Rattus norvegicus: one gene and its partners. The protein of the gene in region 2 purifies or fractionates together with the protein of the main gene of each other region. This does not show direct contact. Links are inferred from orthologs where the notes say so. Each region holds a gene or a part of one and is shown on either strand. Other genes may lie near its edges. The genes, in order: Med13, Fbxw7 and Fmr1.

What was found.
Region 1: the proteins of Fbxw7 (region 2) and Med13 purify together in Homo sapiens (affinity purification with mass spectrometry; 5 studies listed by BioGRID and IntAct, with this or other methods). This does not show direct contact. The link is inferred for Rattus norvegicus from reciprocal best matches to the Homo sapiens genes FBXW7 and MED13.
Region 3: the proteins of Fbxw7 (region 2) and Fmr1 purify together in Homo sapiens (affinity purification with mass spectrometry, with the first as the bait; 3 studies listed by BioGRID). This does not show direct contact. The link is inferred for Rattus norvegicus from reciprocal best matches to the Homo sapiens genes FBXW7 and FMR1.

Annotation. Positions count from the first base shown.
Region 1 is NC_086028.1:71,671,256-71,675,002, reverse strand, and holds the start of Med13 (mediator of RNA polymerase II transcription subunit 13), read left to right. Parts: upstream 1-1,101; 5' UTR 1,102-1,172; coding exon 1,173-1,238; intron 1,239-1,362; exon of another isoform or gene 1,363-2,246; intron 2,247-3,159; coding exon 3,160-3,394; intron 3,395-3,747. UniProt on the Homo sapiens protein: Component of the Mediator complex, a coactivator involved in the regulated transcription of nearly all RNA polymerase II-dependent genes.
Region 2 is NC_086020.1:172,601,204-172,604,850, reverse strand, and holds part of Fbxw7 (F-box/WD repeat-containing protein 7), read right to left. Parts: coding exon 3,570-3,647; intron 2,187-3,569; coding exon 2,005-2,186; intron 196-2,004; coding exon 1-195. UniProt on the Homo sapiens protein: Substrate recognition component of a SCF (SKP1-CUL1-F-box protein) E3 ubiquitin-protein ligase complex which mediates the ubiquitination and subsequent proteasomal degradation of target proteins.
Region 3 is NC_086039.1:152,284,009-152,287,755, forward strand, and holds the start of Fmr1 (fragile X messenger ribonucleoprotein 1), read left to right. Parts: upstream 1-921; 5' UTR 922-1,102; coding exon 1,103-1,153; intron 1,154-1,916; exon of another isoform or gene 1,917-3,397; intron 3,398-3,747.

The DNA of each region.
Region 1 (3,747 bases), on a different chromosome or scaffold from region 2:
TATCCAGCTCTGATTTCTCTAGTCCTAGAGTTTCTCGATGTACCCAGAGGCCTTATGGAATAAATGAGAGTGCATTGGAATTTCTTTCTTTTTCTTTTCTTTCCTTTCTTTCTTTTGCCAACTTTCTCTTCCAAAGAATTCGAACTGATTTCCAAGTAATTCTGGGTTTTGAAGTGAACCTTCCTGTGCTGCACATTCCCCAGCCAGCAGAAAGCTAGGGCCAAGGCTTGGGTCATCTTAACCGGGGCATCCAGCAGATGGCGCCATCTCAGTAGCCACCAGCTGGCCGCCGGGTCCCCGGGGCTCCGAAAGCTTCCCTGCCCTCCCTCACCGCCTTCTCTCTCCCCCCCTCCCTACGGAGCCCGGCCCACGTGACCTCACGGCGGCCAATGGGCGAGCAGAGAGGGCGAGCTGGTCCCTGTGGCCGCCATTAAAGCGAAGGGAAAACCCGTGAATTCGGATTAAAGGGGGAAAAACACCGCCCGCTGGGCCCACAAAATGGGGGAGACTACGGCGTCCAGGCGGTGAGGCGGCAGGAGAGCAGACGTTAGGCAGGCTTGGCCCAGGGACAACACGAGGACAGAGCCGGAGAATGGACTGAGCCCGCAGACACCGCCACCACCTCCGCCGCTGAGGAGACTCTGGGCTTAAGGACATCGCCGCTGCCGGGCCGGGGGCCCGGGCTGCTCTGCCGGTCCTCGCCCTTCCCGCCCCTCCGCGGGCGTCCCCGGGCCGCGGAGAACCCTCCCGGGCGTCAGGGCTCGGCCTGCTCCCACTCCGGCTCTGACTATTTATCGTGTCCCTGATTGTTATTTTTTTTTGTTTTTCGTTTTTTCTTTTTTAAATCTTTTTTTTTTTTTCTGGTGGAAGGGACAGACATCCCTTCCCCTCCTCTCCAGAGAGGGACGCGCGTCCGCGGGCTCCGCAGTCCCGGCGGCCGGCCGAGCGCGGCGCGGCCCTCCCGCCTGCGGCCTCGGCCCCGGGCGGCTGGGTGCCTCCGGGCGGCGGGGGCCGCGGCGGCGCCGGGGGGCGGCGGGGAGGGCGGGCGGCCCGGCGGCCTCCTCCCCACCGCCCCCCGCCCTCCCCGGTGTCTGTGTTTCTCTCTCTGGTCGGAGGCGGCGGTAATGGCGGATGGTGGGTTGTGGCGCCGGCGGCGGCTGCTGTGAGGGACGATGAGTTCCTCCTTCGTGTCGAACGGGGCCAGCCTGGAAGATTGTCACTGTAACCTCTTCTGCCTGGTGAGTGCGGGGGCCGCGGGCGATGGGGGAGGGGGCCGCGCCGTGCGCCCTTGGGCCGTGGGGGAGGGGGTCCGGGTCGCATCCAGATGCCGGTGTCCCCGGGCTAGGCCCCGCCGCCGGAGTCGGCCTTCTCCGAGGCTCTGCGGCCGCCCCCGGGAGACAGCGTCCGCTCACCCACCGGCCAGGGCTCTGCTAGGAAGAGTCTTGCCTTTTTTTTTTTTTTTTTCTTTAAAGTCTTTCCCCTCCTCCTGTCTTGTTTTGGAGTCTTTTTCTCCATCGTAGTCTTGTCCTTAACTTGGGTTCTTATCTGGCCGGATAGTAATATTTTCTTATGTGCTTCTTGCTTGCCCCCCCTCCACCCCCCGCCCCTTGTATGGAACAGCGTATCCCTTTTCCACACTTTCCAGGATTGCCCCTGCCTGCTTCACTGCCTTTACGCCCTTCCCTTGTAAGTGGGCTTCTCTTAAACAGGACCCCCCAAAACTTATGTATTAAAACCCTCTTCGTTTTATAAGTTAAACTAACACAGGGGTAGTTTCCTTATGGGTGACTTCAGATCTTTGTGTAAAAACAGTGTTTGCCAGTTCATATGTTTTCTTTTTAAACTTTGAAAACATTTTGCCATTTTGACAATTTCTAGCCATCTTGCTTTTATTAGAACATTATGTTTTTGTGAGAGTGGAGGGGCTAGTGGAGGAGGTACTGTGGTTTCGCACTAAACGTTCTATATTTGTCAGTTTTGCTTACGTTTTAAGAATGTTTTGAGCTGGCTGTTCCTTTTATTGAACTGAAAAGTGTGGGGAAGCTGGAATTAGGGATGTTCTAGTATGTATATGTAGGTCGGCCCAAATCGGATAACACCCAATAGTTAAGACTTTTTGTCAAAAGTACCAACTGTTGCAAATATCTAGTCCTGAATTAAACGATATCCGAGCTTCGTGAATGACTTTAAGTTGGAGTGACTTTTTCATTTTTCTTGTGCTGTGGGAAATATTAAGTCTATCATAGGTAAGTGAATTAAGTGGGTGGAGCATAACTAGTTGGCAAGCGTAAACTGCCAGTCATGTATCAGCAGTTTCATTTTTGGCACCGTATGCTTTCTGTCACCAAGTTAGAGTAAAGAATTATGAATTTCCTTTGTTGAATCTCTTTCACGATATGGTAAATGGGGATCTTTAACGTACTTCTGCCTTACAGATTAGACTGGTTTTCTCGACAGTGTCCATTAATCAGCATCTCATCACATGTAGTAAGATGTACAGCAGGTTTAACGTTTCTGTCTTCCCCAACTGGATCTATTTTTGGCACTTCGGTTTTTTTGAAGATAGATTAGCACAAATCTGACAGCTCCTTGGAAGTAGTTCTTTTCCTGAAGATGTGTGCTCGTGGGGAATTAGCAGGCTTTTTTTTTCTTTTCAGAAAAACATTCAGAGTCTTTTCATTAGAGCCATGACGTCTTACGACGTTGCAATGAGGGCCTTTACTTTTCAGTTCACCAGGGAGCGACTGTGACTGACGGCTAGAGAGGAATGTAGGCTAGAGACGACAGACAGGCTTACCATCATTGTTTCCTTGGTCGGCTTCCGATATGCTGTGTTTATTACAGACTGGCTACTCACGGGCATCTTTGATATTTTATTTAACAGTTTTGTATTCTTTTCCTTCAGTTCTTGTTGGTTGAAACATTAAAATTGGCCATGGTGTTTTGTTTGTTTGTTTGTTTGTTTGTTTTTTTAATTTTGTCAACTTTCAGTTCTTAAGCATGAATTGAAAATAGTGATTTTAATGAATCAAAGACTTTATAGTGAATATATATTTATATATAAATATGTAGTAACATAATATATTATATTTAATAATCGATATTGTTTATTTGAGTGAATATACAATAATATAGATATTATGCTTTCTTTTCCTTCAGGCCGACCTGACAGGAATTAAGTGGAAAAGATATGTATGGCAAGGCCCAACTTCTGCCCCTATTCTGTTTCCGGTGACAGAAGAAGACCCCATTTTGAGCAGTTTTAGTCGATGCCTTAAGGCAGATGTACTCGGTGTTTGGCGGCGAGATCAAAGACCTGGAAGAAGAGAATTGTGGATATTTTGGTGGGGTAAAGATCCCAATTTTGCTGACCTTATTCACCATGACTTATCAGGTGAAAGCAATTTATCCTTTTTCAATGTGCCTTAGCAACGTTGTATACTTTCCCCAATGTGCATATGCTGTGGTGGGCTGTCTTGTCAGTGGGAAGCTATAAGAGCAGTTGCCATGCTCTGTTTAACCATCCTTGTTTTAGTTTCCTCAAGTTAGCCATGTAGATTACAGCCCAGCTCCCTTCTGTAGTTTCTCACAGACAGTTTGTATCTAGGGAAAGCATTTTCATTAACCTGAGAAAAATGGAATCTGGAAGCATGGTGTTTTTCATAGTTATATAATAGTTTTGAAGTCAAGTGTAACTCACCTTTGAGTCTATTTTGCTATGTTCTTTTTGTCTAACCCTGTGGGCGG
Region 2 (3,647 bases):
TGTAACGTGTGTAGACAGGTCTCGGTCTCTGGATCCCACACCTTCACCATAAAATCATATGCTCCACTAACAACCCTCCTGCCATCATACTGAACACAGCGGACTGCTGCCACATGGCCCATCAAGACGTGTAAACACTGGCCGGTCTCAATATCCCAAACCCTGAGAGTGGCATCTCGAGAACCGCTCACAACCCTGCAGAGAGGAACAGAACGAAAGTTAGACAATGAATGCACAGGGCAGAGGAAACCGCTGCTTTCTCCTTTTTTCTTAAACAGAAATCCTTTCCCAAGAAACGCTAATGCCTTTAAATGCAAATTCCAGGTACTCTGCCTGGAATGAGAAGTGAGGAAGACTTGAAGCTCAACTGGTCACTGGCTTATGGGCCTTGGTTCCACCTCAAGGCTCCATGGTCCAGTTTAGGGAGCACTGTACTGCAAGAAACAAGCACCTGTCCACACATACAGCAAGATCCTGGGCAGCAGGATCCTGGGCAGCAGGTAACGGGGCACATGCAGGATCCGCCATGCACCTCCAGGGGTATGAACTCATAACAATCCAGAACGTTCCCTCTCTATGACCTCTGTCATTACATTACACTGCAGGTTCCTACTACCTATTCGAGTGAAGAAAAATCTCAGCACAAATTATCTTTAGACAAAGGAAGAGTTTTAAAGTGACTTTGGGACTCAGAAAGCCATGGCTGTTTCCTTATGCTCCACATTAAGGGAAGTCAGTTTCAGACGCATGCTCACAGCTGGTGACTCACAGATTGTTAAAGATGTTCCTACAGCAGTAACAGCAGTGCCTAAGAAACTGTCGCAGTGCCACAAACACTATCCTCTTCTGAAAAGCAGAGTGAGACAGTCATGCAGGTACCTCCAGATTCCCAACCAGGCACCTTTACGTCATTCCCTAGACATAAGAGCCACTCTCCATTTTAAAGAGTGGAGTTCAGAAGTGTGAGATAACGAACACAACAAAAATGGAAATGTTATGTCCTTTGAAACCCATCCCTAAACTGTAATCACTGTGCAAAGAACACACTGTGCAAAACAGGCTCAAATTTAGGAGTGAAAAGGAGCCCCGTGTACAGCACAGCTGTAGGGAGCCTATTTACAGCGATGGGTCTTGATACAAGGCAGGATGGACAGAGCTGTGGTCATGCGTGCGTGGAGTCCACGTAAGGACCCTTCTAAGATACATGCTTTCAGAGCTGTGAACGCAAGGACCCTCCTGTCTCTACCTTCTCCGTGCAAAGATGAGCAGCCAAAAGCATGCTTTCTGACAAATGAAGTAGAAAACACAGCCTCTTAGCTGGGCGCAATGAAGATGGGTCAACAGAAGGACCTGAGGTTAGCAGAAGCCTGAGATACAAAGCCCCAGGCAGAGACTGGGTGGGAAAGGGCAAAGAGGCCAGGCTTGGCTGAAACCACTTGGAAATGGGACTGAAAGTTCTCCTTCATTTGGTGGGCAGAAGTAGGGCAGCAATGCCAGCCTAAAATGAGGGCTCTCTGTCAGCGTGCAGAAGGCCAGAGGACCCCACACCTGAGGCTCTCCACAGCTCAGATGACCAGTACTGAGAGTAAGATAAGGCCCCTGGACCTCAGCATGTCTACAGCAGGGATGCGATGGACTGGGGACAACGTGGGTGTGGCACTCAAGGACTCAGGCTACAAGTCCCAGTGACTAAATCTGTTGTTCTTGCACAGCATAAATATGAAAATCAAGAAAGAAAATGATTTTTGTTTAAAGATGATGAATCATCAAAACATCAAAACAGATTAGAGAGCAGAGTTTGAAGAAAAACAGCCATACGTCAAATGAAGAAGAAAATTTAAAGACAGCCCTCCACTTTTAAGCCAGCATAACCTAACTTTCTTGGTTTAGGACCACCTGCACCCTGTCCTTAGTGGCCACTGGAGGAGCTCATTAGCACTCCCTTAATCCCAAATCCACAAGTAACAGTAATGTGAGCCCCAGTCGCTAGGGCGTGGCCTTTACCTTTTTTCATGGAGATGCATACACCGTACAGTGGAGGTGTGCCCATATAACGTATGTATACACTCTCCAGTCTCTGCATTCCACACTTTGAGAGTCCGGTCAGTAGATCCACTAATGATGATATTGTCTCTCATCTGTGAAGACCACACTCCACCGGTGTGTCCCACTAACGTCCTCAGACACTGGAAAAACACCCCAGATGATTAATTTTAGGTAGAAATGCAAGCAAATTAAAGGCTATATTAACATCTCATTAAAAATCTGGAATAAATTTTACTTATTCAACTTCATGAGAGCGCTAGGAAAGCATTTTTGCATACCAATGCTACATGGCGCCATCACTACTGTTTGCTTATTTGGTAGCTGAAAATGCTACAGGGATACACAACTGAGGAACAAGTATGGAGAAAGAAACATGTGATAAAACCTAAGATTCACATGAAGGGCTGGAGAGATGGCTCCGTGGTTTAGAGTACTGGCTGCTCTTTCAGGGACCTGATTTGATTCCCAGCACCCACACGGTGCCTCACAACCACGTGTAACTCTAGTGCCCAGGCATCTGACCCCCTCTTCTGGTCTCAGAGGGCACCTGGCATGCATGTGGTGCACAGACAGACATACAAGTAAACAGTTATACACAAAATAAAATGACGTAAAAAAAGTTTAAAGAGATCGCATGATACAAAGCCTAAGGCGTCAGAAAGCAAAGTAATGAAGCAAGTAAGCTCCACAGCCCCAGCCGGTCAGCAGGGTTAAAACCACCCAGGCTGCAGCAGGGAGTCCCACTGAGGAGGACCAGGGCAGGAATGGGGGAGAGTCGGGTGTGGCCACATACCACAGCTCACCCATCTCCTCAGGGCAGTAGTTAGGGCGGCCTAGGCTCCTTCTAGACAAGCAAAGACAGACACTGAAACTCCCAGATAAACCCCAAACTAATATTATACTATGGAAACGTGGAGCTGCTTTTAAAACTTTAACATCTGAGTATTTGTAAAAGTCTTGTCCGAGGAACACCACAGCAAAACATATTTTAAAAAAACAAGCTTTTCCATACTTTCCTCTGCTATGTTTCAAATGGTCAATGTTCACTAGAGACTCGTTAAGGAGCCGTATGCAGTACATGAGGCACGGCCGCCCTGCTTCATTTCCGTACCACTAATGTCGAGACAACTCTTACAGGATTTACTCCGTTTCTAAATTACAGATAGCTTAGTAACAAAGCAGTTTATAAGGAAAATTACAAATCTCTGTCATGTTTTGGAAGGCCTTAGGAAGTAGTGATTCTGATTCACACGGCCAAGGTGAAAGGTTCTCAGGTAAAGAAATGAGGGTGTGCACCTGAGATACCTTAGACTAAGTGACAAAGACGGCAAACTATTTAAGTGGAGAAAATGCTACTGCTGCCAGCATGCCAAAAAAGTATTCACGAACATAAGGAGAAGGTAAGTGTTTCTAAAGGAGGCCTGATATTCGTGATTAAAATAGTTGGGACCAAAACACCCCCTTTACTGTGACTACACACACAAAATGGTGACTCCCTGAGGTATGGAAAGACGTGAACTTACCTTACCCGTGACCGCTGACCAAACTTTTAAAGTGTTGTCATCAGAACCACTAACTATGCGGTTACCACAAAACTGTAG
Region 3 (3,747 bases), on a different chromosome or scaffold from region 2:
AAAGGCTAGACTTGGTTCTGCTGTGGAAGGCACAGGAAAAGAGCTGCATGGAGTGGACACAATGATGTGCATAGACAGGTTCCATGACTGCTTTCCTGATGCCCTCTCTCTGGTATAGGGTGCACATAGAAGAGGCAAAAGCCAACTGTAAGGAAATTAACAACTGTTTAACACATTCATTGTCTCTCCCTCTTTCAGTGAGCTCTCTTTATTACGAAATCCAAGTAAAAGTATGAAAGGAAAGTGTGCGGGACAGCATTGTCTGAGAAAGGGCTAACATTTCCTGAAGGTCTGGCACACTCCATTGGCCCTTAAAAAGTACTCAAAAGTTCCCACAATGCTTCCCCAAATCGCTAGGTAGTATAGCGATTTATTTTGCACTCTGGCCATAAAAGTCCCAGAAGTCAGGGTCAGTGTAGTTATAACTGTTCCTACATCAAAGTGTTCTCCAATCGAAGTTATCACTTTAACTTCCCCTCCCGCCGCGACTTCCAGTTCAATCAGGTCCCACGCCAGCGCAGTGAAAAATGTACCCAAAGCCCCTCCACTTCTGGTTGGGCCCCATTTTCAAAAACTGGAGGCCTTTTCCCACGTCCTCGCTTCCTCCTGTACAAAAAAGGCCTCTAGTCCCCACGGCTGGCCATAGGCAGCACGACCTGTTACTACCCTTTGCGCTTTCCCGCCGTTCACCCAGCGCGCGCGCCAAAGTATCTGCCCAGTTACCCCAAGGCAGGTACCCACGACGGCGCATGCGCGTGCTCAGCTGCCCAAGAGAGAGGGCGGAGCGAAGGGGGCGGAGCCCATGGGGGAGGGGCCGCCAGGGTCACGTGGTGTCGTTTGACTGTTTACAGGAGGCGCGGCAGAGCCCTCGGCCTCAGTCAGTCTTGCGCTGGGGAGCGTTTCGGTTTCACTTCCGGTGAGGGGCCGCGCCTGAGAGGGCGGGCAGTGAAGCCAACGGACGGCGAGCGCGGGCGGTGTCAGTGACGGCGGCGCCGCTGCCGGGGGGCGTGCGGTAACGCGGCGGCGGCGGCGACGGCTGGGCCTCGAGCGCCTGCAGCCCACCTCTCGGAGGCGGGCTCCCGGCGCGAGGAAGGACGAGAAGATGGAGGAGCTGGTGGTGGAAGTGCGGGGCTCCAATGGCGCTTTCTACAAGGTAACGGGCTACCGGACAGGCCGGGTCCTCGGCCTCCCTCCCTCCCTTGTGTCCCGGGCGGCGGGCGGGCCCCTCGGGCGCGGCGGGAGCGGCGGGCGGTAGGTCGTGAGGGAGCGGCGGACTCAGGGCCTAGAGCCCGCCTCAGCGCTCTGACTCCCGCCTGAGGCCCCGGCGCCCGGCGGAACGCGAAAGGAGCGCGGGAGCTGAGGGTGGTTGAGCGGCCGAGTTCAGTCAGGGAAGCGGGAATGCGAGGACAGTAGATCTGGCCATAGGGCCGGTGCCGCGTGAAGTGGCGGCAGCGGCTTAGTCCTGCTTTCCCAAATAATCCTCTCCTAGTGGGTTCGGGGCCTGACACGCGGGGAGCCGTGAGGGAACCGGGGGCGCCTCAGCCCCGCCGCCTCCTGCCCTGCCGGACGGCGGTTCGGAGTCTTGGGCTCCGGGTTGTCGGCCCACAGTCCAGACTTTGGAGAGCTCCCCTGTTCTGGGCGAGCGGAGTGGAGCGAGTTCTAAGAAGCCCTTGGCAGTCCGGAATCACAATGGCAACTGCTCTTTAGTGGCCTCTTTGTGAATTTCGAAGGAGGGTTTTAGACCTAAAAGTTTCTGAAAGACCATGACATCTGAGAGAGCCATTTAAAACGCTAGCCAAAGCTGATATCCATGGCCTCCTACCCTCTGTAACTGGGGGAAATTCAGGGATAAACATGTCGCGACTTCTAAAAATATTACCAAGTCTGCTTATTTTAAATTTTCCTTTGTGTTTAAGTTCTCAAGGACCCGAATTTGTGCCACAGAACTTCAGGAAATTAACGGGGACTGTCTGATTGCTACTGAATTTTTACCAGGACGGTTTGGAATGTTTGTTTTGTGCTCTGAAGTGCATAAACTTGAGTATATTCGCTTTGACTTTTGCGGTGTTGCAGTGGGCTATGTTCTTGAGGTTTTAAATAAGCATTCATGGAACTACTGAGGGGTTTTTTTTATACCATTGAATATCAGATAACGTATATTTTTTTAAAGGAACCTTAAAATACATGTAATGTGGTATGATTCCTGATACTGCATAGATGTAGATCTAGCAATATTATAAAGTCTCTTTTTTTAATGTTTACAAGCTCTGTAAGGCCCCACCTCAGTAGAATATTTTAGTAACAGAAGCTGCACGTGGAAGGAAGCATGGAAAATAGCTTTTGCCATTGTCCAACCGTTTTAAGTTTATTGTAGAAGAACTTGAGCATTTCAAATGGGACGTACTAGGCTAAGCTCAGGAAAGTGACTTTTGTAAATTATGCTTTTATCAAGTCTATGGAGACATTTAGTAGAAGATAAATTATGCTTTTATCAAGTCTATGGAGACATTTAGTGGAAGATAAATTTCATGAATGAGGGAAATTTGTAAAATACTAATTTATACTAAAAATACCCTTTTGTTGTAGCATGGGAGACAGAAAGAATGCAGCATTTTTGTTGCTAATTCTATCAGTGCAGTTTTTTCAATTTGCTGTAATAAAAAAATGTTCCAGTTAGTTTTGGTTATTTTGCATTAGAAGGTTTCTAGTTTTGGTTATTTTGCATTAGAAGGTTTCTAGTTTCTAGAATGACAGTTTTAATTGCTAGAGTTGGGGCACTGAGACACAGATGAGCAAGGGATAATAGTTAAGTAGTATTTTTGTTCATCTCTAATACCAGCTTAGATTTGAGTCCACTGTTAGTTGCTTTTAATGAAGTTGGCTTGCCATTGAGGGCAAGTAGTGCATCCTACTCTTGAAGGATTTATTGGCCCCAGTAATTTTGCTTGCAAACTGACTGGAATATTTTTTAAAAAGTGCACTGTTTCCACTATTAATCCCCTTGCTTTTTTCTTGGCTTTGTTTTTCAACAACTTCTTAATTTGAAGATGAACGAAAATGAATAGACTTTGAATTATCCTTTGATTCCCTGAGGGGACATGTAGTACTCTTTTAAAGTGTGTGTTGAAGAATTGCTATTGTGTTTAAGTTTATTTTTGTTTTTTGGTTTTTTTTTAAGTTTCAACTGGTCTATATTAAAGGAAGGGTACTGGCTATACTGAAAGAAGTTTAAATTTTACATCACTTAGAATATTGACTGTGAACAGGAGAAAATAAAGTGGAAGCATGCTGAGTCCTTTTCTGGTGAGATTGATGACAAAGATGAGAAGTAAAGACCATTATGGAAACACTGGGAACCCTGTTCATTAAATTGGTAGAAGTAAAAATTTAAAGCGAAGTAAGTCAAATTCAGTATAATTGAATTCAGCTTTTGATTTGCTTACTAGAACTACTGTATTGTAAAGGGTAGTTGTACATTCCCTGAGCACATTAAGTTTGCAGAATAACTATATAGAACACATATTAGGAATGATTTGATTCTTTCTCTAAAACATCAATAAATTGAAGATTTCAGATTCACAAATCATGCTTCTGGCATGGTAAGAGCCAACCAGTTCTGATTTGGATTTTTTCTTTTATTGTTTAATTTTTAAAACTATTAGATTTGTGACTACTTTTTTTAATTTTTAAAAATTTTTATTCTTTAATTCTTTTTGGACAGTTAGACTTTATTGACCTCCCTGTCTT